Mytilus edulis: one gene and its partner. The protein of the gene in region 1 purifies or fractionates together with the protein of each later gene. This does not show direct contact. Links are inferred from orthologs where the notes say so. Each region holds a gene or a part of one and is shown in the gene's direction. Other genes may lie near its edges. The genes, in order: homologous-pairing protein 2 homolog and meiotic nuclear division protein 1 homolog.

Region 1 (16,028 bases):
TTTTTGGTGAAAATGAGATTAAAACTTTTTGAGTAACGGGACTTTGTAACTAAAAAGGTGTGGGTTTTTTTCACATGTCCATATGTCAGAAACTATCTATGTTATAATATAAAAATTCTCACACAAGACAATGGTCGTATGATCATGCGCTCAAGACGCAGCTTTGGTGAATGGAATGATTGTGTAGGTATCATCTGAACTTCACGGCTTCACCTCATATCATGGTTTATTTGTTAATTTTAATTTTTTATTCCCAATACATACTATAAGCAATGGTTCAACAAAATTTGATGCATTCAATTATTTTAAGGTGTATATGTCTGTCTGGCAGAGTTCAGCTTACCTTGACCTCATTTTCAGGGTTCATTGTTTAATGTTATGTTTTGCTTGTTGATTAAGTTTGTTTCTTTGATACTATAAGCAATAGGTAAACTATATTTGATGCATGCAATGATTTTGAGGTAACCACATCTGTCTAGAAGGGTTCATCTGACCTTGTGTACATGGTCAATATAAAGTGTTCATGCTTTAGACTGTTTCTGAAAGATTGTACGGTTAATGTGTATTTCTTGCTTAGTTATCAGATATTGATTTCATTTTCTTGGATCGTGTCTATGACATCTATGTGATACTTTTAAAAAGTAAAAACACAAAAATACCGAACTCCGAGGAAAATTCAAAAGGAAAATCCAAAATCAAAAGGCAAAATCAAAAGTCCAAACACATCAAACGAATGGATAACAACTGTCATATTCCTGACTTGGTACAGGCATTTTCTAATGTAGAAAATGGTGGATTGAACCTGGTTTTATAGCTAGCTAAACCTCTCACTTGTATGACAGTCGCATCAAATTAATATAAGTTATCTACGTTCATATCCGAAGATACCGATATTTTACCCCAGTACACTGTGAGGGGTAGCCGAAGGGTGTACAAGCTACTGAAGGGCGTTAAAATATCCATATCTACGGATATGAATGTAGATAACGAATTTATCCCCGGTCTTAGTCCGAATCGGGCAACTTTTATGGAAATTCAGGTACAAAGTGTAACGTGAAAACAACGTTTATTTCATTAACTAAAAATGTTTTATTGAAATTTGGAAATCTTACATATTTTTTTCAGGGTGTAGGGTACTACCTTTGATAGAACCCTACAGGTAGTCAGAAATAAGACGTTTTTAATACAGAGACAGAGAAACTGGATTGAGTCAAATTTGGATGTCAATGTTGTGAGAGTTACGTCATAGATGGTGTGACGTCAACGTGGGTCATTTGCATAGCTAGGTCAGTAGTACTATTCCTTGAAAATGTGGCAGTCAAGTGTTGCATTTAATGAAATGAGTGTAAATGATCGGCATAATAGGAAAAATCGTTAATGAATTAAATATTTAAATACAAACATCATGGATAATCTACAGAATTCAATATTTCACAACCAGCAATCATGGAACTAAGGAAAACTTGTGTGAAGTTCCCCGAGATAATGGTTAACAACGTCCAGGGATATGGGTTTTGTAACGATTGTGTTAACCAATCAAAATCTTAGATATATACTTAGCCGGGGATAAAACTTTATATTTAGGACTATCAACACACAAGAGTGCACACGCTGAAATGTCTTGCCTTCTTTACTAATCATTGATATTATGTTGATAGACCTAAATATAAAACCTTATTAAAACTGTCACATAAACTCAACATTAACCAAGAAAACAAAACATTGATCAATGAACCATGAAAATGAGGTCAAGGTCAGATGAACCATGCCAGGCAGACATGTACAGCTAACAATTCTTCCATACAACAAAATGGTTGACTTATTGCTGATAAATTAAGAAAAACAGACCAAAACACAAACACTTAACACTTAGCAATGGACCGTGAAAATGAGGTCAAGGTCAAATAAAACCTGTGTAACAGACATAAAGATCATAAAATATTTCCATACACCAAATATAATTGACCTAATGCATAAAGTATTAGAAAAATAGACCAAAACTCAAAAACTTAACTTTGACCACTGAACCATGAAAATGAGGTCAAGGTCAGATGACACCTGTCAGCTAGACATGTACACCTTACAATCATTCAATACACAAATATAGTAGACCAATTGCATATAATATAAGAAAAACAGACCAAAACACAAAAACTTAACTGTAACCACTGAATCATGAAAATGAGGTCAAGGTCAGATGACACCTGCCAGTTGGACATGTACACCTTACAGTCCTTCCATACACCGAATATACTAGACCTATTGCTTATAATTTCTGAGATATGGACTTGACCACCAAAACTTAACCTTGTTCACTGATCCATGAAATGAGGTTGAGGTCAAGTGAAAACTGTCTGACTGGCATGAGGACCTTGCAAGGTACGCACAAACCAAATACAGTTATCCAATTACTTATAAGAGAGAATTCAATATTACAAAAAAATCTTAACTTTTTTAGTCACTGAATGAAAATGAAAATGAAGTCAAGGACATTGGACATGTGACTGATGGAAAGTTCGTAACATGAGGCATCTATATACAAAGTATGCAGCATCCAGGTCTTCTCCCTTCTAAAATATGAAGCTTTTAAGAAGTTAGCTAACGCTGCCGTTGGATCACTATCCCTATATCGAGCTTTCTGCAACAAAAGTTGCAGGCTCGACAATAAAATCAATGGTTATTAAAGCAGGTGAAACGGCCCCAAAATGACTACCAGGTAGTGTAAAACAATTTAAACAGGAAAAACAACAGTCTAATCTATGTAAAAAACAAGAAATGAGAAACACTTATGAATCACATCAATAAACAACAACTACTCAACATCAGGTGCATGACAGGATACACCTACATGGGATTTTAGGGTTTTGAGAAAATGGAAAAGAAAAAAAACACCATGTCATCACTCTGATCTATAGTTTTTATGACATTAATTAAAGTTGATAAGTCTATGCTATATATTTCATAGTTTATTTCAATAATATAATATATCATTTGGTTAAATAGATAAACCCATCCCAATTTATCTATATAAACAAATGAAAATATATTTTTTTTACATAATCTGTACAGTATATATTACAGAACAAATTTCTTCATAGAGTTACTAAAAAGGATGGAATGACAATTTAAAAAGTGATAAAATAATTATATAAAATGGAAACTTGAAAATCCTAACAAATTGATTGTTTTCTTCTATATCTTATGTCTATCCTTGCATTTTTACTTTTGTAATGCTTATTTGTTGTATACATGCATATTGTCTGTTCTTCAGATTGACTTAATTGGTTTTAAATATTGTATAACTGATGTAAAACTTTTGAAGCACTGATATCTATCAACATTTAGGAAATTTTCTTATTATCTTTACATGATGTTTAGTTTATTAAGCATTGTTAGTTTCCGATGTATATAACATTGTGTCTTTCAATTGTTTCAATGTCTCTTTCTAGTTGTTTCATTTCAGCTTCCATTCTTTCTTTCCTGTTTTTCTTTGGAGCGGTATCAGTAACAACTGACAGGCCCTGGTACTGGTCATGAATTTCCTCCCAGTTTGTTTTAAGACCTTGTAAAATTGCCTGTCGTTCGTCTCCTGATAGAGATCGCATTGCTCCTCGTCTGAAATGTTCTGCTATATATGCATCATATTCTTCCTGAGCTCTTTTCATCTCATCCTTCCTCTTTTCTAAATATTTTGGTGTTTCACCATAATCCTGCAATCAAGTAAAATATGTTGTGTAAATATTTAACAGAACAATTACTTCTAAATTTCTCCAAAGATCTACATAACAAGGAATTTTAAAATATCTAGTACATGTATATAAGTGTCAACAATTTACATCACCAGATTAAATTTAAACAAGAGGCTGTCACAACGACAGCAAACCGGATTTATTAACATTTATTTGTGTCCTGGAAATATCACAAGAACCATTACTGATGAATGGTGAAAGTGAAAATCGTGACCTCTATTTTGTCATCAGTAACAACATATAAAAATTTTAAAAGCTTTGGATGAATAGTTCGTGAGAAAATGCACGGACACGACTGGAAACACCATTTTTCAATCTTTCAAGAACCATAACTCCTGAACGGTAAAAGTCAAAATCGTCATTATTGAATTTGACCTCTATTTTGTCATCAGTAACAACATATTAAAATTTGTGAAGCTTTGGTAGAACAGTTCATGTGTAAATGCACGGACACGACTGGAAACTCCATTTTTCAATCTTTCAAGAACCATAACTCCTGAACGGTAACAGTCAAAATCGTCATTATTAAACTTGACCTCCATTTTGTCATCAGTAACAACAAATTAAAATTTGGGAAGCTTTGGTAGAACAGTTCATGCGTAAATGCACGGGCACGACTGGAAACTCCATTTTTCAATCTTTCAAGAACCATAACTCCTGAACGGTAAAAGTCAAAATCACCATTATTGAACTTGACCTTCATTTAGTTGTTAGTAACAACATATTAAACTTTTAAAAGCTTTGGTTGAATGGTTCATGAGTTAATGCACGGACAACATTTGATTGCCGCCTGCCCGTCGTACATCTCCAATTCAATAACCGACATTTTTGTCACAAAAATCAGGTTAAAAATTGTCACAGAACCTACTTGAAGAATTAAGTTTTCTTCAATATTTAATGTCTTTTTTTAGTCAAAGTAACTATCATCAGTTTTAAAAGAATCAAATTTGATTACTTAAAAAAAATATTTACTGTTATAGATATAAAAAGGTTTAGCACACAATGTGTGAACAAACAATGAGTTTCAGGTGATAAATGTTACCTTTCTATGAACATAAACTGGTTCCAGTCCTGATGGCTCCAGCAAGTTTTTGTGTCCTCCCCTTGTGTCAACATATACTTTTTGTGGCATTCTAGGTACAGATGTGATGTTTTGGACAGCATTATTAGTGATGAAATTCTTTGATGTTTTGAGACCCATTAAAGGTTGCTCTTTAGTTGTAGGTACAGGTGGTCTTTTTCTTTCCTCGTCTGGATATTTAAAAGTTCTCCCTGTAAACAAAATGGGAAACACATAAACTAAGACAAAGTAATATAAATGGACAGAATTTTTTTGTAGAACAGTTTTTCATACATGTACACATTTGAAATACAAGAACTTCAACTGAATCTGATTATATAAAGAATTGAATATTTATAAAAAAAATTTATGAAATAGATCAGATCTATAAATATACTGATTAACTCAAAAATTGAAGTTTTCATGGGTTTTTATTTCTTTAAGAAAAAAATTTGGACATTAAAACAAGACGTATTACCATTTATATTGAAATGGAAATGTTCACAGTAATTTAAATCACATTTTATTTATAAATAAAATTCTTCTGAGGTATTTTCCAAAATTTAAGGTTTACAAATTTAACTACTACATTGAGTGATCTTGATTTGAGACCTTGTAGAAACTTAGTCTTTCATTATGATAGACATTAAAATGAAGCACACTTTCAAAATTTTATAATTTTTTGGGGGAAGTAATTAACATTTAATTATGCTTTCTTGTAAGTTTTTAGTCCCATGTTCCACAACTGATATAAAATGTTATAACCAAATGGTCACCTGACTAAAGAAACAATAACTTACTGTCTGGAAGGACAGGTTCTTTTTCATGTTTCTTCATAAAACTTTCTGGTTGTCTAACAGGAACTTTGGCTTGGCCCATTGTCTTGTGATCATCTTTAAGTTTGACATAATCACCCTTTGCATCATCTCTGAACTTTGAAACATGTCTTTAAAAAAAATAATACAAGAATTATTAAAATATTTGTATACATCCATAAATTAGAAATGATATTTTTTTCAATTATTATAAAAAGTGAAAGATTTTCCTTTATGTTTTTCATGTTATTGCTGCATACATACATTTGTACATGTATCTTTCATTTTCTTAATTCTTTCAAAAGGCTCATGCATGCATATGCAGTTGTTTGGTTTAAAGTCATATGAAACTTCAGATTAAGCTAAGTTTTACTATTACTTTTTAAAGTAAACTTTCTTGAAACAGAAAATCCTTTGCATTATCAAATAATGACCTGTAGTTGTTAATTTCTCTTGCGGAGAGTTGTCGGATTGGCAATAATACAAAAATGTACCTCATCTTCCTCTTTTTAAATTTATATCCTATCTGTTTATTATTCATGGTTTTGTACACAAATCAGACTTAGTTTTCATGTTTGATTTACATTTGCCATTTTGTGGCCTTTTTAGCTGACAAGGTTTTGATCAATGTTGATGGACGTACAGTCATGACCTGTAGTTGTTAATGAAGGCAGAACAGTTTCTGGTTTTTTTTTCCTTAATACTTTGACTGGGACTCTTTTAAGAATGGGGGCTAAACTAGTCAACAAGGTAGTTTTCATTTATCTTGGTTAAAAAATTTTGAAACAGTCTTCTTCTTCTTCTTCTTTACTAAAGAAGAAGAAGAAGAAGACTGTTTCATGACATTTTATTTATGATGGTCTAGAAAAGAAAACAATCGTTATGAAGAAATCTATTCAAAAGGTTGGCATGAAAGTAACCCTTCAATGTAATGACTACACCTTCTACAAGGGATCAATTTCTAGTGATAAAATGTTTTGTTTTGTTGTAAAAACCACTCTTATTTAGGGGGTGGGGGCTGGAAAAAAGGAAAATTTTAAAAGAAAAATACATTTGTGTTACTTGGCGAAAAAAATAATAAAGTGGCGAAAAATATATTGTTTCGGTGAAACAGGTGGCGAAAAAAATAATTGACCCAGGGGAAAGAAACCCTGTCTTTAGGTACAGAAAGGTTCAAAGCCATCAACATTTTTTCAAACAAGATTACTTTCGGGCGAATTGTGATGATGACATTACAAAGTATAATATTGTCATTCTTTTATAATTAAATTAAGGATCCTGATGAATTATATGTTATAAGTATTAAAGTATTCAAAAAATATAAGATCAGGGCCGTAACTACATTGAGGCAAATGAGGCAAATGCCTCATGTTGGAAATTTTCAAAAAAAAAAAAAAAAACTGAAACAGGATTGTCTTCATATCAACCTGAATTATTTTCACGAAGTGTCTTGCAAGTCTCTCTGTTGTCTCCCGGGCATGTTTTTCGAGATCCATGTTTCTATTTTACTTTTAGTTTTCAGAGTTGATAGTCTATTGTTTGCACTTCTGTGTCCCGGGTTTGTCTTTTGTTCATTTATTGTCCTACTTTATAACTATAGTCTGCAGAGTGTTGATTTTCATTCGTAAACTGTGGTTTTGCCATGTTGCATGTCCACCGATGTCCAGACATTGTACGAGAAACTATTTTAAGAATATACGATGCTACTGGACATAAAAAAAATGTCGTTTCTGCATGGAGAATTGAACTTGATATCAAAGAATACAAAACTGGCTCTTTTTTGTATATGAAAATAGATAGCTGACATGGTTTAAATTAAAGTAAGACCACAAATTTCCCGGTATCAAATCATCTTTAAAAAAAGTCAATTTATTGCTATATGACCTTTTACATTGAAGGATTAAACTTGCATGAAGTTGTGTTTAGACTCTTAAACAGAAAAAAAGAATATGGAGTAAACGTGCACAGGACCTTATCTCACACGAAGTCAATGCATAGAAAAAATACAAATGATCAATGGCCAAAGTTTTTTCCCCTATTCTTCATCTTGATAGATGAGGGAGGGTCTTCAACAATAAAAGAATCATTAATACCATAAAACAAGGTCAAGATGGTCCTTAGTGTCGACATTAGCAGTACTAGTACTTAAAATATAATACTGCACTGTCACTCTATTTCAATCTAGCCATAAAAAAATCACCAAAGTCTGAATTAAGCACAATACAAGACAAGACAAGAACAGACAGACATAATGATTATGAGAATTTCGTTTTTTGCTTTATTCTACATATCGGTCTACTTTTAATGTTGTCCCGTAAAACCTAAAAGTCTTAAATTACAATGAGTTTTTGCTTTGAGACAAGAATATTGTCAAAAGAAATAGCTTAAAATTAATTGCGTTTCAATGTAAGTAAGAGTCCGGGAAACGCTCAGAATGCACGATCTTGCGTTATTTTTCTCAGAGCTTCTGGGGGCCTTGAGCGGCCCGGAGACCCCACGCAAATTTTTTTTCACCTGGCTACGCTCGGCGAATATATTTTGCCTCAATATTATAAGAGGCTAGTTACGGCCCTGAAGATGTTTGGAATTAATCTATTACAATGTAGCTTGATTAGTTATCTGTTCTTTGTCTTTTTGGAGTTTTAAAGTAATTTGAATGAGAGACAATTATATCCCAGCACTTTCTTCAGAGATACTGTTAAAGCAGGGCTGCCAAGTCTCACACAGTTAGCGTGAAACTCACACATGTTCATGCTTTTTGGGAGGCATTTTCCTTTGATCTATTGTTTTTTCTCTTTGATCTTCTCAATTTTGGCCAAATTTCACGCATTTGCTTCATGAAAAGTTGGCAGAACTGTTAAAGATAATGTTCTTGTGGCATCTTTTCTGTAGTCAAGTGTGAATTTCAAATATAAATATAAGATGTGGTATGATTGTCAATGAGAAAACTCTCCACCAGAGACTAAACGTCATAAAAGTTTACAAATTTATAAGTTACTGTTTAACCATCAACAATGAGCAAAACCAATAGTGCACAGTCTGCTGTAAAAACTAAAAGGGGTCCAGTTTATGATAAAATATAAAGAGACAATTACTTAAAATGCAAAAGACCAAGCAAAATATCCTATGTTGATATTAAATACTAACGTTCTTGACTTCAGTTCTAATATTTCTTTCTATTATTAATTTATTTGCAAGACAATCTCAATTATTTGATCATTACCTTGGTGCTTTCTCTCTTTTTATCTCTGCTTCAGGGATCAACCCATAAATTGTTGGTTCATCGTCTCTTGTATACATCTTTATATCTCTGATGTTGTCCTATGCACTGTACAAACAAGAAGAAAATTTCAGATAAATAAACTAAGGCCGTTTCCAGGAAGTACGTCATCAAAGGCCGATAACTCCAATTATAATATTATGTCCCCTGAAAATTATTTCCCGCCAATACTTCAAACGTAAACATTGACCAGATTAGTCTGTATTTTAACATGAGTAAATCAAAAGAAGCACAAGGTTGTTGATAACAAAATAACAATAATATGTTCATTTATTTATGTAGGAACAAACTTTACCTGTAAAACCGGTTTTAAAATGACAACACAAGAAAGAAATGCACGAAACAATGTCAATGAAAATAAATATTTATTATTTTATGACTAACCAAAACATGCGAAAGATTTATTTAAATGAAACCAAGTACAAATCCTTGACAAAACAAATGTTTTCAGAATGTCAATTTATTATGAAACTTTCAAAAAAATATGTAGCAATACACATTCTCGATTACCAAATTATTGAACACAAAACCAACAATATGGGTGCAAAAGTGTTTTTGGACAACATACACCCAATTCATAGCAATTTGTATTATATGTCTCTGCTGCCTCTAACTTCTGAGATTAACCCTTGCAAGCCATGCTGAAATAATAGGCTGGGGAGGGGGACCATTTGATAATTTTGAAAAAGGGTTTGGGGTGGAAATGAATATATGGCCTTGTAAGAGCTGAAAATGAATAACCTTGCAAGCTTTAATAGGGGATGACTATTTAATAATAAAGACAAAATGGACTAATTTGAAAGTATCCTTGGACCACTTATAACTTGGATGTGAAATGAAAAGACAAAAATAAATCTGTTTTATATTTTACATGTAAATATTATTTTGTTGGCCAATTAAGTGTCTTGAGTTTACCTTTCAGGTTGGTGCTTTTTAAATTTATCTTTTTGATAATCTTGTTGTTTTTTTAACACCTACAAATGTACATGACATATGTCATTATGTAAAAAGGTTAATAAAACATTACATTTAGATATTTTACTCCAAACACATGATACAACCATCAAAGTCTTGACACATAATTATGTCAATATAAATTAAATTAACCTTTTATTGTCAATGAATTAGAGATATGCCTAATTTATCTAATGCATTATGAATCATATTGACAAGTGGTAACAGCTATATACATGTATGTAAAAATTATCAAAAACACACAAAAAAACAGACCAATACAAAAAATCAAAGAAGATGTTATTAATAAGTACTCTAGTCACCAAAATGGACTTTGCCCAATTTATTTAAACACATGCAGAATTATAAGCAGCGTACTCAACTGATCCAAGTGGTTTAAGAATTATATTTGTATTCTCCTGTTTGGATTCCTATGATAATCCCAAATGAAATAAATTTCCTTTGCAAAAGAAAAATACTTTTGGGGACTTTTATATAATCAAAAAGAAACTACAAAATTTTATACATTGTACAAATGTTGTACATCTAGAGTTTTAAAAAAAAATTAATGAAATCAAAAAGAAAAGATACTGTTTCTTTCCAATGTACAAATGTATTGCATGTATTGAAAGGATTTAAAACTAAAAATGTGAAAAACGGTATGTTTTAAACTGCAAATGTATGATATTTTTCAGGGAGATTCCTAATTCATGATCTGTAACATCAATCTAGAACAAAAGAGTCTTGTTCTAGAGTAAATGATATTTAATCCCATGCCTGGCATGTTTGTACATGTCATATTTAACTTGCTTTATTTATGATTAATTAATGTATTTTTTATAAAGGACTTACAAATTGAATTAGATATCAAATGAGATTTTTGTCGAGCCTGCAACTTTTGTTGCAGAAAGCTCGACATAGGGATAGTGATCCGGCGGCGGCAACGGCGGCGGCTACGGCGGCGGCTACGGCGGCGGCGTTAGCTAACTTCTTAAAAGGTTTATAATTTAGAAGGTGAAAGACCTGGATGCTTCATACTTTGTATATAGATGCCTCATGATACGAAGTTTCCGTCAGTCACATGTCCAATGTCCTTGACCTCATTTTCATGGTTCAGTGACCACTTGAAAAAAAAGTTCAGAATTTTTGTAATGTTGAATTCTCTCTTATTATAAGTAATAGGGTAACTATATTTGGTATGTGCGTACCTTGCAAGGTCCTCATGCCCGTCAGACAGTTTTCACTTGACCTCGACCTCATTTCATGGATCAGTGAACAAGGTTAAGTTTTGGTGGTCAAGTCCATATCTCAGATACTATAAGCAATAAGGCTAGTATATTTGGTGTATGGAAGGACTGGAAGGTGTACATGTCCAACTGGCAGGTGTCATCTGACCTTGACCTCATTTTCATGGTTCAGTGGTTATAGTTAAGTTTTTGTGTTTTGGTCGGTTTTTCTCATACTTTATGCAATAGGTCTACTATATTTGTTGTATGGAATGATTGTAAGGTGTACATGTCTAGCGGGCAGTTGTCATCTGAACTTGACCCCATTTTCATGGTTCAGTGGTCAAAGTTAAGTTTTTAAGTTTTGGTCTTTTTATCTAATATTATATGCCAAAGGTCAACTATATTTGGTGTATGGAAATATATTATGATCTATATGTCAGTCCCGCAGGTTTATTTGACCATGACCTCAATTGCACGGTTCATTGCACAATGTTAAGTTTTTGTGTTTTGGTCTATTTTTCTTACTAAAACTATAAGTAATAGGTCAACTATATTTGTTGTATGGAAGCTTTGTTAGCTGTACATGTCTGCCTGGCATGGTTTATCTGACCTTGACCTTATTTTCATGGTTCATTGGTCTTTGTTTAGCTATCTTGGTTAATGTTAAGTTTATGTGACAGTTGTAATAAAGCTTTATACTTAGGACTATCAACATAATTTCAATGATTAGTAAAGAAGGCGAGACATTTCAGTGTGTGCACTCTTGTTACAAACATGAATAATTGTAATTGAAGGAGTATTAGTTATTTGTAGAATACATTTATGTCACTACTTAAACTGAAATGAATTTTTGTTCATTTGATGTCACCAGTCTTCCCAGTGTTAATGGTGTAATTTATGAACTATAGAATTATACATGACGGCACAATTTTATTGTATGGTATAATTAGACTAAAAGAAAGAAAAAAACATTTGAAGAAAGAAAATGATTGATTTTCAAAACATTCAGAAATATGTATACTTCTCTATAAAAACAAGAATTTGTGGTATGGTTGTCAATGAGACAAGCTTAGATCCATCAAAGTTCAAATGAATGAATGAGGTGAATGTAAGCAATTACAGGCAATCCTACAGCCATCCACCATTTGTGTCCACCATGAGAAAAGCTCATACCGTATGATTGATTATAAAAGGCACAAATGTGTAAAATATAAAACAATTCAGTTGAGAAAATTACTGGCCTAATTTATAACAAAAGATTTTATGAAAAACCAATAAGACAGAAATGAACCAACAACAAACAACCACTGAACTACAGGCTCAGGTATCTATACTGTTAATGCCCCTTTAAAACCAAAGAAAAATATATGTGTGGTAAAAGTTACTGTTCAGATTCTAGACTAAACCCCAACTCTTAAAATATTTTTTTGCATTTAAAAAAGATTAAAAAATAATAACTGTCATTCTGAGGTAGAGTTGTCCATGTGATGAGAAAGTTACTTGTTAAAAGAATAGATGAGAATTACTAGTACTGTCATGTATAGAATGATGGTTGTATGTTCTTGACATTTTGGTTATTTTAATTAAGTGATGTCATTCCAGTGACATTTAAGAAACTACGGGCTTCAGAATGCTGGTATTGCTCATGTTATTATGCCTTGTTGCCTTTTGTATTTCTTTTTTTCCCTGGTGGCAGACTGTTTGGTATTTAACCATGATTCTTTATCAGCACTACCAATAGTATTGACCAACACATGAATTGTTATGTATGGATTTCTCTTATTTCATGATCATTTATAGTACCCAGTACCTCATCTGAAATTATTCAACTTTTGTACTAAAATTAAACTCCATGTGGTGAACCAACGCCTGTGTGAATCATTTCGTTAGAGTCCCTGAAGTGAATACCTTGGTATGCAGGGTTGTCAAATTATGCAAATAAATTCAACATTAAAATAATACCCAAAATTGACAACACTTCGAATGGTCTGCACTTTTGTACTAAAAGATATAATTAGCAGAAATCATTCAGACTATCTGTTTTTTTTAAATTTTTAAATTTTTTTTTTATAATGACAAAACTGAAATTTTCACTGTATACAGTATATGTCATGTATGTATCCTCAAAGCAACTATCAGTAGTACAAGTGACCTAAACTTCAACACGTTGAACGCTGTCACTATAAAGTAGAAGTAGAAGTGAACTAGTTTGAATACAATCTAATGAAAATAAGTATGTTTTGTATTTACAGCTTCCAAGGCAGTGTTTGATTACTTGAATAAACAGAACAGACCTTACAGTGCCATTGATATTTGTAATAATTTACATAAAGAACATGGTAAAACAGTAAGTTCGATACAGTTTGTGGGTAACTGGGCTTGTAAGACTAATAGCTGGAAGCAATTAATATCATATGATACAGTAGATTACTCTGTATATATATCTGAGTTTGTTTGTTTTAGTCTCTGCGAATAAGAAGTAAAGACTGTCAAATTTTATGTTATATTAAATCATGTATATAGATATAGGAAGATGTGGTGTGAGTGCCAATGAGACAACTCTCCATCCAAATAACAATATATAAAAGTAAACCATTATAAGTCAATGTACGGCCTCCAACACGGAGCCTTGGCTCACACCGAAAAAAAAGCTATAAAGGGCTCCAAAATTACTAGTGTAAAACCATTCAAACTGGAAAACCAACGTTCTAATCTATAAAAAAAAAAAACGAGAAACGAGAAACACGTATAAATTACATTAACAAATGACAACTACTGTACATCAGATTCCTGACTTAGGACAGGTGCAAACATTTGCAGCGGGATTAAACATTTTAATGGTACCAAACCTTCTCCCTTTTTCTGAAACAATAGCATAACATCACAACATAGAAAACCACACGATAAAATATCAATTGGAAGGCTTAACTCAATCAAAAACCGTAAATTAACACACTAGCACAAAGTGGGAGCTGGCTATATTAATGCATTTAATTTATCCCTCTATTTGTCAACTACTCTTTTCAGTCAGATTTTTCTCTCAGCTTCTACTTACTTGAATGATTAATTATTTGGTAAGCATCTTGATAGAACTTTATCATTTATAATCTGATCTGTCAGAAATCTAATGTCCTGTTTGCCCATACTTTTGATTTTTTTCTGTGTTTTTGAAGTTTTAATTTTTTCATCATATACATATCAAATACATTTATTCATTACTGAATAATTTAATTTTGGATGTAACACGTCTTCTAATTGGCTGACGTCATTTTGTTTATCAGCTCAGTCATAATTTTGTTATGTGATCGTGACATCATCAACGTTTTTCATGATTTACTCCAGTTTAAAATGGAATTAAGAATTAAATTATAAGAAATGACTAATATTTGTTCTGCCTATTCCGAATAGGCTACATGGGTTATTCAGTGTGCACCACATTTTTATGTTATTTCTTCACAAACAGAAAAAATATTACAGTCATTTCTTAAATATAATGATCGACCCAAGGGTCCGGAAACGGTCATATATGCCAGTCTTGACCTAAACTGAAAGTAGTTTGTCCTAAATGAGTAATTGGGATTTAGGACAAATTTTATTTTTTTACAGAAATAATTTCGGTCATTCAATGTCATTTCGTTGAGATCGAGTTTCTAACATTGTCTAAATCGCCATTTTGAACTTATTTTTTGTTGTTATCCTTTTCCTGTAATAAAACTGCCACTCCAGTAAAGTGTTATAATCCTGAGGGCCCTCCTAATAACTATAGTAATGCCTCAGGGAAATATTGGCTAATGATCGCTAATATCTTTACCTGTGTTTTTAATTAAATTTTTTATTGATCACGAGCTCAGAACTAATATTTTAAAGAAATTAAAAGTTCATAACAACTGTCTGCATTATTTAATTACTTTTCTCAGCTTAGACAATTGCCAATTCTGATTTAAAATTAAATTAATTTACGTAGAACAAAATATTGTTTCACTACAAACACACGTGCTTTGTTTACTAATACGCATGCTTGAAATTCTCTTCCGCAAATTAGACACTAAATCGTAAATTAAAAATGATTTCATGCTCAATTAAACAAGTCCAACTATTACAATTAATATTCAAACACTAGTAAAGGTAAAACAGTTCAAAAGCTGACGATTTCCTGTGAATTTGATAAACAAAACTAATCCCGGAAATGAGTCCGGAATTGGTCGTTTTACTATTGTCGTAAAACATCCGGTTATAATTTTGTTTTTAAAATTGAAAGAAACGTAAGCGAAGTTTGAGAAATTTATCGTTTTGAGTCATTAAAATCATTTCATTTTTAAACTGGTGCCTTCCTTTTATTGCTCAAGATCGATTTTAAGGAACATGGTAGGGAAATTTCTGAAGTAAATGCGATGCAACAGTTAAACAAGTTCGTTGATGCTACGAGTATGACTGTATGAGCATACACACAATCTTTGTTTAAAAAGGGCACCAACTTTTAAGTTATCCCAAAATGACCGAAATTAGGTGAAAAAATTTCCGGATCCTTGGATCGACCCCATATTTGATAATCAGCTCAACTGAGTTGTAACATGTTAGAACTTTTTGTATCTGTCAGACAGCTACTACCTGTTTTTGAGTTGGGGTTTGCTTAGCATGATAATATATGCATTCTTCTCATTGTCTTAAGGTAGCAATACACAGTTAGAAGTTTAGTTTCGCATTATGGCCCCTGTGAATTTTTTAAATATGAAAGTTTTTGTACAATAAAATTGATTTTTAGATAATTGAAGAATAATATAGCCTTCTTAGTGGGTTTATATGAACATTAAGATTGTTTTTAACATGTTTTATAGGCCATTTATATGACTGACAGTCCGTATTTTCCTATCCGTACCGTTCATAGGTCCATACATTATTGTGGTGTCTATCAACAAAGATTTTGGGCTCGATCTTTTCAAT
Region 2 (15,967 bases), on another chromosome or scaffold:
GCCTAATACAGGAAGTAGTTGTTGGTTCTCACATGCCATAACTGTGTACTCGTCTGGACCACTACACAGGTTACCAAGGCAACGTAGCAATGGGGTTACAACCTATTACAATTACAAAGCATGAGCATGACAGAAAACAGATGTTTGGAACAATTATTTGGAAGCATGGTGACGGTATCTATTAAAATAGCACATAATTCAATGCCACAAATCCAAATGCAACATACTGTGGATTCATTTATTTTCTAGGGATAAGTGAAAATGTATTTAGTAGATTTGTGATTTCATAGATAGCAACTAGCATTTATGAACAATCCACAAATTTTTGTCATTAAAAAGTACTCAATATGCTAAATAGAGGTTTTGAGAGTTATGTCTGTCAATTCAATATGGGATTTTAAAAAATATGCATGTCTTTATGATGTCATTTGTCAGGTTACTTAACTACTATTTTTCTGTACTCATGGGTGTAAAAAAACGATTCCCCGCTCTGGAACAGTACCAAAATAATTTTATGTATGCTTCTTGCTAAAATTCAAATATTATTTTTTTTAATATTTTTATACCTGATATTGTTTTATATATGCATGAAATGTGTAAATAATGATAGGATCATATATTTGTTTTTGTGAAGATGACATTTTTTGTGTGCAAAAAATTATATTTTAAATGTGAAATATATGGGAATAAATGGAAACAACACTGTTATCTATATATTCTTTTTCAGAATTATAACTTACCGTTGCTATATGTGGTTGCACCTCAGATAACTGTATCAACAATACAACTATTTGTGTCAAAACACCATTTTTCACAATTTCTTCAGAGAATTCACCACTTAAAGCAAAGAAAAAGCATTTAAATAAATTTTACTTCACAATATTGGATATGAATTGTTTTACAGTATTTCAAATAATAACATGCATATAACATTTACATTTAATCAATATAATGTTTACAATAAAAATGTTTGTCTTAATGACAGCTAAATTTAATTGAGTCTTCTGAAAGACACAATATTTATTATAGAAAAGGTTTATGTCTAAATTTGAATAAATGGTTGCAAACATTTCTACAAAGTTACATAGTTTTATAAAATTTTGTCTCTTTACGAAATGCTTCAGTTCAGATATTTCAGTCAGTATTCAGTAACTCTACCTTGAGGCTAGATAAGTGAAAACCCACGAGACCTCTGACAGTATATTGACATTGTCTGGATGATAGACGAAATGTGGTAGTAACACTGTTATAACCTGACTCAGTATTCAGTTAACCTACCTTGAGGCTAGATAAGTGAAGACCCACGACACCTCTGACAGTATATTGACATTGTCTGGATGATAGACGAAATGTGGTAGTAACACTGTTATAACCTGACTCAGTATTCAGTTAACCTACCTTGAGGCTAGATAAGTGAAGACCCACGACACCTCTGACAGTATATTGACATTGTCTGGATGATAGACGAAATGTGGTAGTAACACTGTTATATCCTGACTCAGTATTCAGTTAACCTACCTTGAGGCTAGATAAGTGAAGACCCACGACACCTCTGACAGTATATTGACATTGTCTGGATGATAGACGAAATGTGGTAGTAACACTGTTATAACCTGACTCAGTATTCAGTTAACCTACCTTGAGGCTAGATAAGTGAAGACCCACGACACCTCTGACAGTATATTGACATTGTCTGGATGATAGACGAAATGTGGTAGTAACACTGTTATAACCTGACTCAGTATTCAGTTAACCTACCTTGAGGCTAGATAAGTGAAGACCCACGACACCTCTGACAGTATATTGACATTGTCTGGATGATAGACGAAATGTGGTAGTAACACTGTTATAACCTGACTCAGTATTCAGTTAACCTACCTTGAGGCTAGATAAGTGAAGACCCACGACACCTCTGACAGTATATTGACATTGTCTGGATGATAGACGAAATGTGGTAGTAACACTGTTATAACCTGACTCAGTATTCAGTTAACCTACCTTGAGGCTAGATAAGTGAAGACCCACGACACCTCTGACAGTATATTGACATTGTCTGGATGGTAGATGAAATGTGGCAGTAATGCTGAAATAACCTGTCCCTGTACCATCTCCCTAAAATATATCAACAGTTATTACAATAAATTTAAAAGAACAAATCTGAAAATCGTATATAAGAAAGGCAGCTTTTTTTAACAAATCCCCAAAATATTATAAAATTTAAGTAAATTAATCTGATTATATCTAATACAGTTAGTGCATAACATGTATGAAATGCAGTTATTTTGATGATTCAAGTCCCACAACTCTTGAATTATAAACAAAAATTTGGAAATTAAAAGGGAGTTTGCTTTTAACAAACCCCCAAATAAACAAAAGTTTCAAGTAAATCGATCTCAGTAAACTGTATTTATTGCTGGACATGTGAAAAACTTACTTTTATCTGATGGTTGATGTCCCATAACTCTGTAACGACCATCAAGATATTTTTTGAAACAACAGTGTAAAGTTTCAATCAAAACAAACTTGTCCAATATATGTGATATATAGCCTCAAACAATTTAACTATGGAACAACAAACTGAAACTTTTTAAAACAGAAAGTGAGCTTTTATCCATTGATTAAGCACAAGTTTTTTTATAAAATTTTATCAAAGCATTATCTCCCCTTTTATACAAAGTGTAGATTTAGGGACAGACGACCAAGCTTTACTTGTCAATATTTTAATCAGCTGACACGTTATCTAACCTTTGCATTAACTTTAAATTGTTACCACATTTTCATTTAATAAAAATCCATTCAGGCTTCACAAGTATCAATTTTTTTAATATCCAAAATATACAATTCAAACATCCTACCTTGAGATTTCAATGCATTCCTTGGCCAAGTTTGACAAAGCAAAAGCTGCAGACTGGACAACAGCAGGATGTTGGGACTGAAATAAAGCAAATCTTTTACTGCAAGGAAAACTCAGAGAAAATGTTCATTGCAAAAAACAACAGTGAGATTTTTAATATTCTTTCTTTCATTCTTAACTAATTTACTCCTTCATGTTTCAACTGTGTTCCTGATCATATAAAATAAATTTGGGTTTAATTTTATAAATCATCTTTAATGTTTAACATGAGTTATGTTATCTCTGATTGGATACAACAACTATTGCACATTCTATTTAAGAATAGGTTTCTCAGGTTTTCTGAGAAAACTTCTATCAATGTTTACCAACAATGCCTCATACACTTATACTGAGATATTAATACCGGTAAGTTGATTTGATATCCGAATGCTATGTATCCTATCAAGAATATAATGTCTCAAAATCATGTAGCCTTTAAGACTAAAAGGTCTTTAAATGTTGTAATAGCCATTAGAGAAATTAACATAGTGAAGGAACTTTATCTAAGGATCCTTATTAACCTTAGTTTAAACATATCTATTCATAGTGGATTGGGAAACAAGTTTTGCAACTTATATTAATCTCTTTCCACTTTGCAGGTGCGAGTGCTGCCTTGTAGCGGCATTAGCCTACTCTTTTTCGAAATCTACAAGGGTGTGTTTAACGTGCAAGAGATATGGCTCTCTCCATTAATTAACACGGGTCAGCCATTTATCGTCCCCTTCCGACAGACTATCATCGTTTCCTTAAGACTTGTCTGTACATGTGTTAATAGATATGGTTTATATGTTTTAAAATTTCATGTTTCAAGTTAAGCATATAACATTTATTGAAAAAAAGCAAGCATTTCAATTGGTATTAAAATCATTTTAGTTTAGTTGGTTTGCAAAAAAATAAGCACAACTATTTCTGAGTATTCATTGATAATGATATCTAACTTATACACATTTTTCTTCAATGTAAATCTCATATTAGACTAACCTGTAGCAATTTAATTAATGGTGCAACCACACCCTGAGCTCGGACCATATTTCTGCATTCTTGACTGTCACCTGCCAAATTACCTAGGGCCCAAGCACTCTGGTCCTATAAAAATAAAACATAAGGTAAAGATAGTCAACAGCTGCTCCTAAAACTCACGAAATTATTCAATACTGTGGATTCGTTTATTTTCGTGGGTATCAATTTTCGCTGATTGAGGAAAACTTTTTCATGATTTAGTTATCTCTTAATTATACATGCTATACAAAGCCTATATAAAATTTGTAACTTTTTGAACATTTGAGTTTGTGGTTCACCTGTTCCCACGAAAATTGGTTTCCAATGAATAATAATGAATCCGCAGTACATGTAGTAAGAATCGTGAATATCATATGAAAAAAGCTATGAGAAGAGAAACGTTTTAGTACTGAAAGCATTAGTTTTGAGGAATTACATCTGTTTGAGACTAAACTTCAGATTGATCTACAAAAAAAATAAGTTAACAACTTCTTTTTACAACTGTTTTTAATTAGAAATGTTGGTTATATGGCTCTTTGTCCCATCAAACAAAAATTCACAGAGAAAACAACCTTTTAGTTGATTTTTATTTTTTTTAAAGGGTCCTTCAAGGTTTGGTTACAGAAAGGAAATGTTCATGTTAAATCCATAATAAACTGCATTTATATTTGATTGTTTTTTATTGTTGTAAAAACGACAAAACCAAACTTTAATCCCATCAACCTCCACCTGTATTTCATGTCTTTCTAAGTTATCAGTTATTTTTGATTAATCAGTATATTGCATTCTCCTCTAGTGGTTGTTGTTGGTGGATAGTTGTCTCATTGGCAATCTTTATATTGTTATAAGGATTTTACACACTTCACAGTTGGTAAATAAATAGCAGCTGAAGAAAAATACCACTAATACAAACACATTACATATTTACAATAAACATGAAAATTTCTGTGTGATGGTTATTTTTGCTTATTTCACAATCATGAATACTCTGCATAAAAAATCTGACATTCATAATAATTTGCAAAATTTAACTTAATTCATGAAAAAGAGGCATTTAAAGTTTCATATTTCAGGATTGGGTGTAACATTGTTAAAGGTTACCAGTAAGCATTGAAATAGTAAAATATCAATCTGCAAAAATTTTCACATTTAAAATATTAATCTTCTTCTCGTAGAATAGATTAGTACCTGTAAGAGAAAGTTCTGACTACTTAAGTAAGCTACTAAGTATGGAGCTACATATTTAGAGATTAACATGGCCTGGTCATGACTTCCTGCTGATATGTTTGTAATACACCATCCAGCTTCTAGCTGTAAATCTGAATTTGTTCCTGTATATAGTCCAACCAGTGTGTGTATAATGTTTTCCTCACTAGAAAAAATCAAATTTCATTATCAATTAATTATAAAGTTGAATAAACACTGATAACACAGAGAATTTTTTTAGCATGCGTAGCTAAGTAGCTTAATTACTTACTTTATCTCTAAAGGCAGATTGATTTATTATTGGTGTTTAATGTCTCTTTCGATAGTATAAGCTTTATCACAGCAGTCACTGTTTAATGATGAAGTAAGCAAGGCTGCAAGAGTATCAAGAGAGAACCATGCAGGAAAAACCGACAACCCTAGTCAACTTTCATTAGAGACAAACACACCTGCCATGTACTCCGTTCAAACTCACAACTTCAGTGTTGACAGATAGAGATACAGTAGACAAACAAATTACACTACAACTCACTAAGGGCATAAATATAATGTCCTGTCATATCAAAGAGTGATATACAACAAATATGATCAGGAACTGTGAATGAACCCCAGCCCTGCAATTTCAATTATCTCCCCTTTAACATTGATTTTCAATTGAATCCCCTTGTATGTTTTTTTCGTGCACCATATTGTATATTGACCAATCAAAGGCCCTGAATAATGATAATTTACTTGCCTTACAAATGCATCAATGTACACTGTTCCTTGTGAAAATGCCTGTCTTAAAAGTTTTAAAGCTGCTAAAGTGTTAGTTCCAGACTTCTTTAAATTAGCTGTTATGGTTTTTACCTAAAAAAAATAACACTTGTAAATGAAATGTAACAGCATATCCATTTCTACTTCACATTAAAAAACAGTAAAAGCAATGTCACACTGATATATTAAATCAAGATCAAAGTTTTTTTTTTTCTAAAATAGAATTGAATAAACCTTGTCATGGTTATTGTATAAAATGCTTTCATAATTTTTTTATATTTTGAAATTAAAAGTAATCTCTTTACTGTCCTAAACACATTGCACAATGTATCTTAATATTGAACTTTCTTGAAAACTGATAATTTGATTCCATGGAAACTTTTATCTTAATGTCAGAACATCTATTATAAATTTTTAGTTTTTTGTGTGGTGTTATGTGGATTGATGTTGGTCTTGTTTTGTTTTTTTACCCATGGTGTTGTCTGTGTTTTTTTCATTGCCTCCTTTGTATCACTTTCCAAATTGTTGTACTTCTCATAAAACAAAATATTCAACTTTTTCACAGACAATTTTGCCACCCAGTAATTTAAACTACAGCCATTAAAATTGCCTGTACATGTCATTTACATACATGTACATAATTTACTAAAATAAACTATCCATACCTCACTTATACTGTATTCATCTGTAATTTCTTCTCCTTCAGCTAAACGAAATCTTTTTGAGCTTAGTAATTTATCTTTCTTTTCTTTTCTTAAAGCTGAAAATAAAAAAAATCATGTGGTTCCTTATTATAATTATGGTTATGCATTATGCAACACAAACAGATCCAAAAAATATGTGACACAACTCAAAATGATATCTTATTTTAAAACTAGTACATGTAGTACTGTTCTCATAGAGTTATATCTTGCCTGTACATGTAATTTTGAAAGTATAAATTACAGTTTGAATGCTACATGTAGCAATTTTTTTCTTTGCTGGCTGTTTGTACATACATGTATATTGACTTACTGTAGATGAGCATGTGGTCAGGGTTTTGATTTGTATTAGGCAGTGGCTATTTTGCCGGCTCCGGCAAAATAGCGATTTGTATACAGTTTTGCTATTTTGCCGGTCTTGATTAAGATTGAAATAGAAGTATAGAAATTAATAATAGAAAAAATATAGAAACATACACTTTAATGTGAAATCCCTATACAACTACATGTATGTCTTACTTAAACATTTATACAAAACTTGTATATTAAGATTGATATTCTTTACTTAAAAATTAACATCTTGTTATTGATACTAGTACATTTTTTCTTTAATATGAAGTAAAAAAAAAAAAGAAGCATTAATATTAAAATAGATACTAGTCTAGAAATTTGTTCTTTCATGAATAGGAAGTCTAAAAAAAAAGCTTACAATATTAATATTTATACTTGTACTATTTCTATATGCATCATGAGAACAATATTTTGTTTATCCATTGCACCATAGACTATAGATTATTATTAAAGTTTTGTATGGTTTTCATGAATTCTATAGTCCTCGTTTCACGTTTCAAAGTACTCCAAAAAACCGGCTGTAGCTCTTCATTTTATAAGTCAAAAATAATGCAAGTTTGTTTGATAACAAATTTGTTATTTTCCGTATTTTTTTCAATGTTCAACAGGAATTAATGTATGTTAATGTAATTAAATGAGTGCATTTTGTATTAATATTTGCTCTTTTGGGAGATATTTGAACTTTGTCAGATTTTCAGTTTTAACTTGCATGCAAGGTGCATAGGGTTTCTCTGAGCTGTGAAAGACTCCTGATGAAGTTGAACAGATCTTTCATATAGAATTATGAATTCCCGCAAATTTATCTGATATTAAAACAAAAAGTATCATATCCATGAAAAAAAAATATACAGACTTTGTCCTCTTCTGTTTTCAAATAACTGCCTTATAAAAGAAAGGAGTAGGTCCGGTAAGGACCGATTTTGGCCTCAAATTTCAGGTTCATCTGACGAAAGATTTTGACCTCTTTTTAAACACTTAAGTGTCTATTTCATTTGATTCAGTTAGTTTTTGTGAAAGGTTTTAACTGATTTAGTCATTAAAAACGATCCGATTCAAGCTCAAAATGAAAAATCTACCAAATTTGTTAAAAAATATCACTTTTCAGATGGTTTTTGTCAAAAATGAAAGTGGCCGCATCCGTGTTCATCCTAAACCTTTATATATGTTATGTATTATCATAAAATACAACTCTCATTCCAATATTAAGGATGAACAGGAATGCGGCCACTTTCGTTTTAAGCGAAAACCGTCTAAAATTTAACTAAAATGATAGAATTGTGAAGATTTCAGTAATTTAGCATGACTTAGTGGTGCTAGTACTCGATATATGTGCATTGTATTGTCAAAAACAGCCCATAATTATGTAGCAGAAGCATTCTACTGTCCAACAAATAACTAAAAGTTTACATTTTAACAATTTGGTAAAACTGCAATATTTTGGGGCCAAAAAGGGGTCTTACCGGACCTTCTCCTTTACACTAAATACAGTGACACAAATTACGTTTTTAACCTATTTTCAATCATTTACTCAAAATATTAAGGTGACTGTTGTGTATCTTGTGTAAAGTGAAACCTCGAACTGCTGAAGCCAGAAACGAAAAACAGACATTAGTCATTAGATACAAAAACTTGAACATAAAACAAACAGGTTGCCAAATTTCCTACCAATTTCTTCACTTCTATTTCTATTTCGTATTGTATCAACGTCATCTGTCTTGTGTTTATATTGAGCTTTTCTGTCCATCACAGAAAAAAATAAGGGAAGGTTTGGGAAGGGAAAGCAACCAACGCTTTATAATCCCTTGAAGATTTATCTTAAAACCAATTCAACATAAAAAAGATTGCGATACTTTGTACTGTTGAGTCAATATTTTGTGGAGTAAAAGGAATATATAAATGATTCGATAATAGTACTGTAGTGATACATTCATGATTTGAATAAGATATATTTAGAAAGTTTAAAAACATTTACCTTGCAGTTGTCGTCCTCAGTTCTGTCTGTTGGTTTTAAGTAGTATCATGAAAAGGCGCCAAATTTAACTAATCATTTCTGCTTGACAAAATGGTAGTGTATATTATATATATGAACATATGGTTGTCATACAGGCATTCATGTTTTATAACCACTCAAATATTCCATATTTTACCAATAAGAGCACATGTGCTTGGGAACCCTTTTGAGATTCGGAGTTTGGAAGAGGGTAGGAAGGGGGAGGGTTTTTTGTTGATTGTTACCATTATGAAAGAATAAGAAGCAGAAGCACTGCCCTTTACTGTCAAAGGGTGATTTTCGGATACTGTTAGTGTTTGTGTAAAATTGGTTAAAATTTTACCGTGATTTGTCAAAATATTCCTATTGTTATTCATCAGAGGTTTCAAATAATTATCATCATTACTGTTAGTTTTGGAAAAAAATTAAAGTGATTTGTCTAAACATATATGTAATACCCATAGATAAAGCTCGCCAAAAGTTCCCCACTGTTCTCTATTGTTAGATAAAAAGAACCATGACCAAATTGACTGTCTTTGATGTTATACAAATACAAATACAAATATTTTATTGGCACAAACACAATTACAATAATTGGCAATGGCCCATACAACTGGTATACAAATAGTAATAATGCATAGAATAGCAATAGGCATATTTAGAACAATATCATCGAACGATATCAATATCATCAACAGTAAATGATTAAAAAAAAAATATATCAATTACATAGTTGGTCAAACATATTAAGTATTGAAAATAATGACAATATTAATATGTAATATTATGAACAATGATTATTAGCAATTTTATAGAGTTTGTTCTGCTTTACGCAGGTTCAAACTGTCTGAGATGAAAGAGGAAGTTAATTTTAGGATTGTGTATGAATTATTATTTAATAAAAAGATTATATTATTTTCATGTTTTTGAAATTTTGTAGGATCAACGATTATATTTGAAACTTTATGGTAAAATATGTCCCTCTTAGTTGAGTATTTTTCACAATGTAAAAGAAAATGTTTTTCATTTTCAATTTGACCAGAATTACATACAGAGCAGTATCTCTCATTTCTGGGAATATTTAGATGTCTCCCTCTTTCAATCATCAGTGTATGAGCGCTTATACGGATCTTACATATTGCAGCTCTGTCACTTCTGTTTTTTAATATATCAACATAGGGTGGTCTTCTGCCCATTATGTAGACACTTTTGAAAAAGTCTAACTTTTTGGATTCAAATATATTTGCATTTTGAACTTGCAAACATTGGTCATTAATTCTTTGTTTAATAGAATTTAAATTACCTTTAACATAATTAAAGTTATTGATGATATAAGACATTCCAAGTTCATTATAAATGTGTGTTGTACTCTATCAAGTAACTCTAGCCACATCTTTTATTTGTTGATCTCCTTGACCAGTACAGCATAATAGATTTTCTTAAATTTCTTCTCGAGTTATGTCCCTTCTGTTGTTAAATTATGTCTATTTTTAGCGCACTGGACAGACAAATAAAATGGTCAAAAAATGGATGAAATCGATCAAAAATTGCGCATTTTACAAGGAATATATTGAACTTAATTCAAAAATGTATTTTTTGGCTTGTATCTTTATATTTTATAAAAACTATGTTCCTGTAAGTTCCGGAAAATGGGAATAGCACGTTGTTGAACTTCTAAAATACACCTTTTCTTTGATATGCTTCATTAAAGTGCCGAACTGCGTCAAATTTGGGAAAAAAAATAAGAAAAAGTACAAAAATGTACATTGTTTTCTTTTTTTAATCAGTTTTTCTACAGTTTTAGAAGAGAAATGGTCTTTTTCAAACCATTTTTATAATTTTACAGAATAAGTTAGTTGCTAAATCATAGATGTATTTTATATTTTTTGGATAATCAAAAATATTATAATAATTTCATTCATGATGTTTATGAATATGTATTTATAAGTAAAGAGTTTTAAGAATTTAGAGAGAGCCGTGGTGTAGTGGTTAGTGCATCGGACTACTAACACAAAGGTTCCTGGTTCGATTCCCAATTGGGATGAAAATTTCAGGAACTGAATTTTCGGCTCTCCCTTGACACCATTTGCGAGTATGGTCTCGAGGAAACGATGATAGTCCGTCGGAAGGGGACGATAAATGGCTGACCCGTGTTAAGAGAGAGCCATATCTCTTGCACGTTAAAGACACCCTTGTAGATTTCGAAAAAGAGCAGGCTAATGCCGCTACAAGGCAGCACTCGCACCCGCAAAGTGGAAAGGGATTAATATAAGTTGCAAAACTTGTTTCACAATCCACTATAAATAAATATGTTTAAACTAAGAATTTAGTGCATGCATTAAATAACAAAACATACAAGGCATAGAAAATACTTTTTGGAGCATACATATTTTTAACTTGTTCAATGTTTTCTAACAATTATATGTTCAATAAACTTGCTTATAAAAGTAAGCATACATTTTAAAGATAAAGTTTTTATATAAAATCTAAAAATATAAATATAATGAAAACGGAAGTTCTACCTAAAAATGAAAAATATTCACATTTAATTGTTTCTTTACGAGAATATTTTGTAATATTGTTTTATCTAAACAAATATTATTTTTTAAAATCAAGTCAATATAAAATATATATTTTGATTTTGTTTCTTTTTGATTTTTAGCATGTTTAATGGCTAAGTAGATTTTAATTGTCAGTTTTCTATTGTCCTGATTGTCAATCTGCATCTCAATGACCAACTGGTTCATGTCATTATCAGATAAGTGTGAAAGCCATTACAACCCACATATAACCTTTGAAGTCAGGGTTGAGCTTCATCTATGGGTATTACATCTATGGTCTAAACATGCTATAAGAAAGTACATTTTCATGATTTTATTGTCATGCACCAAAAATTACAATTACTGTCATTTGGCAAGAATCTTTACGTTATTCTTTATGAATGTACCCCCGTTAAGGAGGCTCTTATTGGGGGTGTCCAAGTAATCACATAATCATTGATTATTTTTTTAACAAAATAATCAAATAATCAAAAATACAGTCCTAGATTATCAAAAAATCATGAATATTTGGTCTGGTAATCAATCCTGGATGTGGAACAATTGAGAATCCAAATCTAAAGGATTAAGTTGCTTGGTGTTGAATACCTGGAAATATAAAGGTAGATCAAATGGTTGAGTAAGGTAATATCTTCTGTGGGTCTATTGTTTAGAGCACTGCCTTTAGATTCCAAGATTGAGGGTTCAAATTCCTCTTTAGCTTGTACCATCTGTAACTGTAGACTGGTAGAGGTTTGACAGTAATTTTGTAATACCTGCTTCAGTGATTGTTATGTTGGACATTTTCGAGTGGGGACTTCTACCTTTGTCTTGGATGTTATCATCCGTTTCATTTGTAAATACTGATTGGAACTGTTGATTTAAAATGTTCGCTTTTTCCTCAGTGTCTGTGACTAGTTTGCCATCTTTTTTATGCCCCACCTACGATAGTAGCGGGGCATTATGTTTTCTGGTCTGTGCGTCCGTTCGTCCGTCCGTCCGTCCGTCCGTCCGTCCGTTCGTCCGTCAGTCCGTCTGTTCGTCCGTCTGTCCCGCTTCAGGTTAAAGTTTTTGGTCAAGGTAGTTTTTGATGAAGTTGAAGTCCAATCAACTTGAAACTTAGTACACATGTTCCTTATGACATGATCTTTCTAATTTTAAAGCCAAATTAAACTTTTGACCCCAATTTCACGGTCCACTGAACATAGAAAATGAAAGTGCATGTTTCAGGTTAAAGTTTTTGGTCAAGGTAGTTTTTGATGAAGTTGAAGTCCAATCAACTTGAAACTTAATACACATGTTCCCTATGATAATATCTTTTTAATTTTAAAGCCTAATTATATTTTTTATCCTATTTCACGGTCCATTGAACATGGAAAATGATAGTGCGAGTGGGGCATCCGTGTACTTTGGACACATTCTTGTTCAAAGGTGCAACACCAGTGTTATCAGATCATGTGCTTTTGATGTAGCTGAACCGATTTTTTGGTTTTGATTTTGATGTTTCATATTGACCAGGTTCGTTTTAATATTGGTATATCACAGATCATTTTTTCCATATATTTCCAATATTCTGTACGCAATTCTTTTTGCATTGTTTGTTTCAACTTTTTTATATTTTTCGGGATATTTCTTCCTCTTTTGATAAGCTTTGATTTTCTTGTTGATAAGCTTACGCAGTTTGTCTGTTACCCAAGGTAATCTAGTTTGTATGTCATGTATGTTATCATTTTGTGTTGTACATTTTTTTCTGTAGATTTTACACATAAAGCTTGCGGCCCTGACAATATCAAGTCCTTTAAGAACTAAAGGAACAAATCTCACCAATCCTTACATTGATATATAAAAAGTCGCTTGAAACTGGAGAAACACCTAAGGACTGGAAACATGCTAATGTTAATGTAGCCCCAGCCTTCAAAAAAGGGGGAAAATACAAACCCGTAAACTACAGGCCAATATCTTTAACCTGCATATTGTTGCAAGCTCATGGAGCATATCATTACAAGTAGAATCATGTCTCATCTTGAAAAACACAATATATTATACGATCTTCAGCATGGCTTCAAAAAATCTAGGTCGTGTGAAACACTATTAATAGACTTCATTCAAGAACTAGCACAATCAAATAATAGTCAGTCAGGGGTACTACTTGTACAAATTATTTTAAATTACTTGAAGAAGCAATATTAATATACTTATACAAGTAAATTTGAAGGATACTTAACCAAGTGAATTTTATTTATTTGTATATAGGTTAAAAAAAATATTTGGTGAGTTATGTCCCTTAGACATTCAGATTTTTTTACTGTAGAAGCAAAAAAGTTATCCTATCTTTTTTTATTGAATTCTTAGGATTTCTTTGCTCAAATAGAATTTCAAATTATCTGCCCTTTGCAGTTGTCTTTACTAATCATTTAACCCTCTTGCTGCCGACCGTTTTTCAAGGTTGCATTTCATATGCCGGAAAATACGACAGCTCAACGTCTGTGACGTAACATGCTAAACAACCACGTCATTCGATATATGACGTCACAACAAAATGACCACTACATTTGGGACCAATTGGAGAAAAACATGACCCTGTTTATTCTTCTGTATTTTAATTGAAAGAGATACAGCATTGATAAGAAGCTGGAATAAATTTATCCATGGACATATATGTGTCCCTCCGGCACTGCCGGTTTGGACATATGTGTCCCTCCGGCAGCAAGAGGGTGTAATTTCATGAACAATTAAAATCCCATTTGTCTATTATCTTCAGAACACTCAGCTCATTTACAAGCCCCCAAGGATCAATTTTTGAAGGCCTTGTGCAAATACTTAAGATCTCTGTGAGCACTATCAGTTTCTTTGTTGAATTAATGAGATGAAACATTGAACTCTAATAAAAAGGATATGAGCTAACCTGGGAAAAATTATTAAAGCCATGATTTTACATCTCAAAACTTGAGAATTTTTGTGAGAAAATTAAAGGCAATTTTATTTAAACATTATAATTAACTTATATGTCTATATTTTTTTTACTTCTTCAAGTAAATAAAAATAACTTGTACAAGTAGTACCCCTGATAGTAACACACAAATTGACTTGATCATAATGGACTTCTCTAAAGTGTTTGACAAAGTCTCACATTGTCGCCTCCTTTACAAGCTCAAATTCTATGGTATTCAAAATAACACACTAAATTGGATTCAGGCATTTTTACAAGACAGAACACAAACAGTTGTCATCAATGGCATTTCCTCCCATAACATCTGGTGTACCACAAGCATGACAAGGAACCCAATACTGTTTCCATACCCGTAGCCAGGGGGGTTCGGACGGGGTTCGTCCGAACCCCCCCTTGAAATCAAATAAGCACTGTTAAAGTCAACGTTTTGTTCAAATTGTGACTGTTAAAGTCGAGTTCATGAGTCCAACGAACCCCCCCATGGAAATTCCTGCCTACGGGCCTAGTTTCTTATCTATAAAAATGACTAACTGACCGGAATACCTACAACCCAGCAAGCTTAGACTCTTTGCAGATGACAGCATAATTTACAAGGAAATAAAAACACAAGATGATTGTCATAAACTACAACTTGATCGAGAATCAGCAGCTTGATGCGAGTCAGATTGGCTTATAAATGACATTTCACCCTTATAAATGTACCAACCTTACTATCTCACAAAAGAAAAATAACTACCGGCATAATTACATCCTCCACATTCACATCCTCCAATCAGTAACATCTTCAAAATATCAGCATTACCTTGCAATCCAATCTATAAAAGTGGAACAAACATATAGACAGTATAGTATCAAATGGGAACACTAAACAGATCACTTGGTTTTTAAAACCAAGTGATCTGCGTACTGATGTTGTGTATCATCTTAACAACATGTTTTATTGTTCTTTTATTTGTTTTTGTTCTATTATTAAGATTACTTGTACTGTTGAATGGTTTTATGTGATATCCGTTTGACGTGGCTCGGTACTTATACATCTCGTCAATGTGTTTGTATTGGCTTTCATTTTTTTGTGATTTGTTTTGTATATGTGACTCTTTGTATTTCTTTTGTGCTTATAACGTGACTCTGTACTTTAAAAGATCCCGTCAGTATGATATTTGTCTATAATATGTCATATGTCATTATGATATATTTCTATAATGAATTACCATATATGTTGAACCACAAACGTCAAAATCAATCAATGGCGTAGTGGAATAAACAATTTTTGGATTCTCATAAATTCTATGTATAACTTTTGGACTAGTTTGAATCTCGGTCTATTTCTGTAATTTATTCTTACATACTTTTGATTTTTTAACCCTGTATGCGTACATTGCCTATGAAATTTTTTTAAATTGTTTGTATTCACATTGAAAGACAAATTTATGTGACGTATATAATTTTTCTGACGTCAGACACTCAAATCAATCCATGTGTTCTTAGACAGTAGATGTTTTTGTGTCCTGTTAAATTGTTTCTTTTAAAAGTTTTGGATTCTCATAAATTCTATGTATAACTTTTGGACTAGTTTGAATCTCG

The links.
Region 2: the proteins of homologous-pairing protein 2 homolog (region 1) and meiotic nuclear division protein 1 homolog purify together in Homo sapiens (co-immunoprecipitation; 6 studies listed by BioGRID and IntAct, counting the BioPlex papers as one, with this or other methods). This does not show direct contact. The link is inferred for Mytilus edulis from reciprocal best matches to the Homo sapiens genes PSMC3IP and MND1.

What each region holds. Positions count from the first base shown.
Region 1 is NC_092345.1:94,961,239-94,977,266, forward strand, and holds the start of homologous-pairing protein 2 homolog, read left to right. Parts: upstream 1-9,026; 5' UTR 9,027-9,115; coding exon 9,116-9,140; intron 9,141-13,339; coding exon 13,340-13,434; intron 13,435-16,028. Other genes in the region: enkurin-like, read right to left, coding at 3,393-3,710, 4,792-5,021, 5,610-5,755, 8,848-8,924. UniProt on the Homo sapiens protein: Plays an important role in meiotic recombination. Stimulates DMC1-mediated strand exchange required for pairing homologous chromosomes during meiosis.
Region 2 is NC_092349.1:43,063,919-43,079,885, forward strand, and holds the start of meiotic nuclear division protein 1 homolog, read left to right. Parts: upstream 1-8,845; 5' UTR 8,846-8,968; coding exon 8,969-8,971; intron 8,972-15,967. Other genes in the region: uncharacterized protein, read right to left, coding at 1-102, 741-837, 1,999-2,112, 2,856-2,932, 3,875-3,979, 5,081-5,264, 5,835-5,947, 6,520-6,614 and 1 more. UniProt on the Homo sapiens protein: Required for proper homologous chromosome pairing and efficient cross-over and intragenic recombination during meiosis.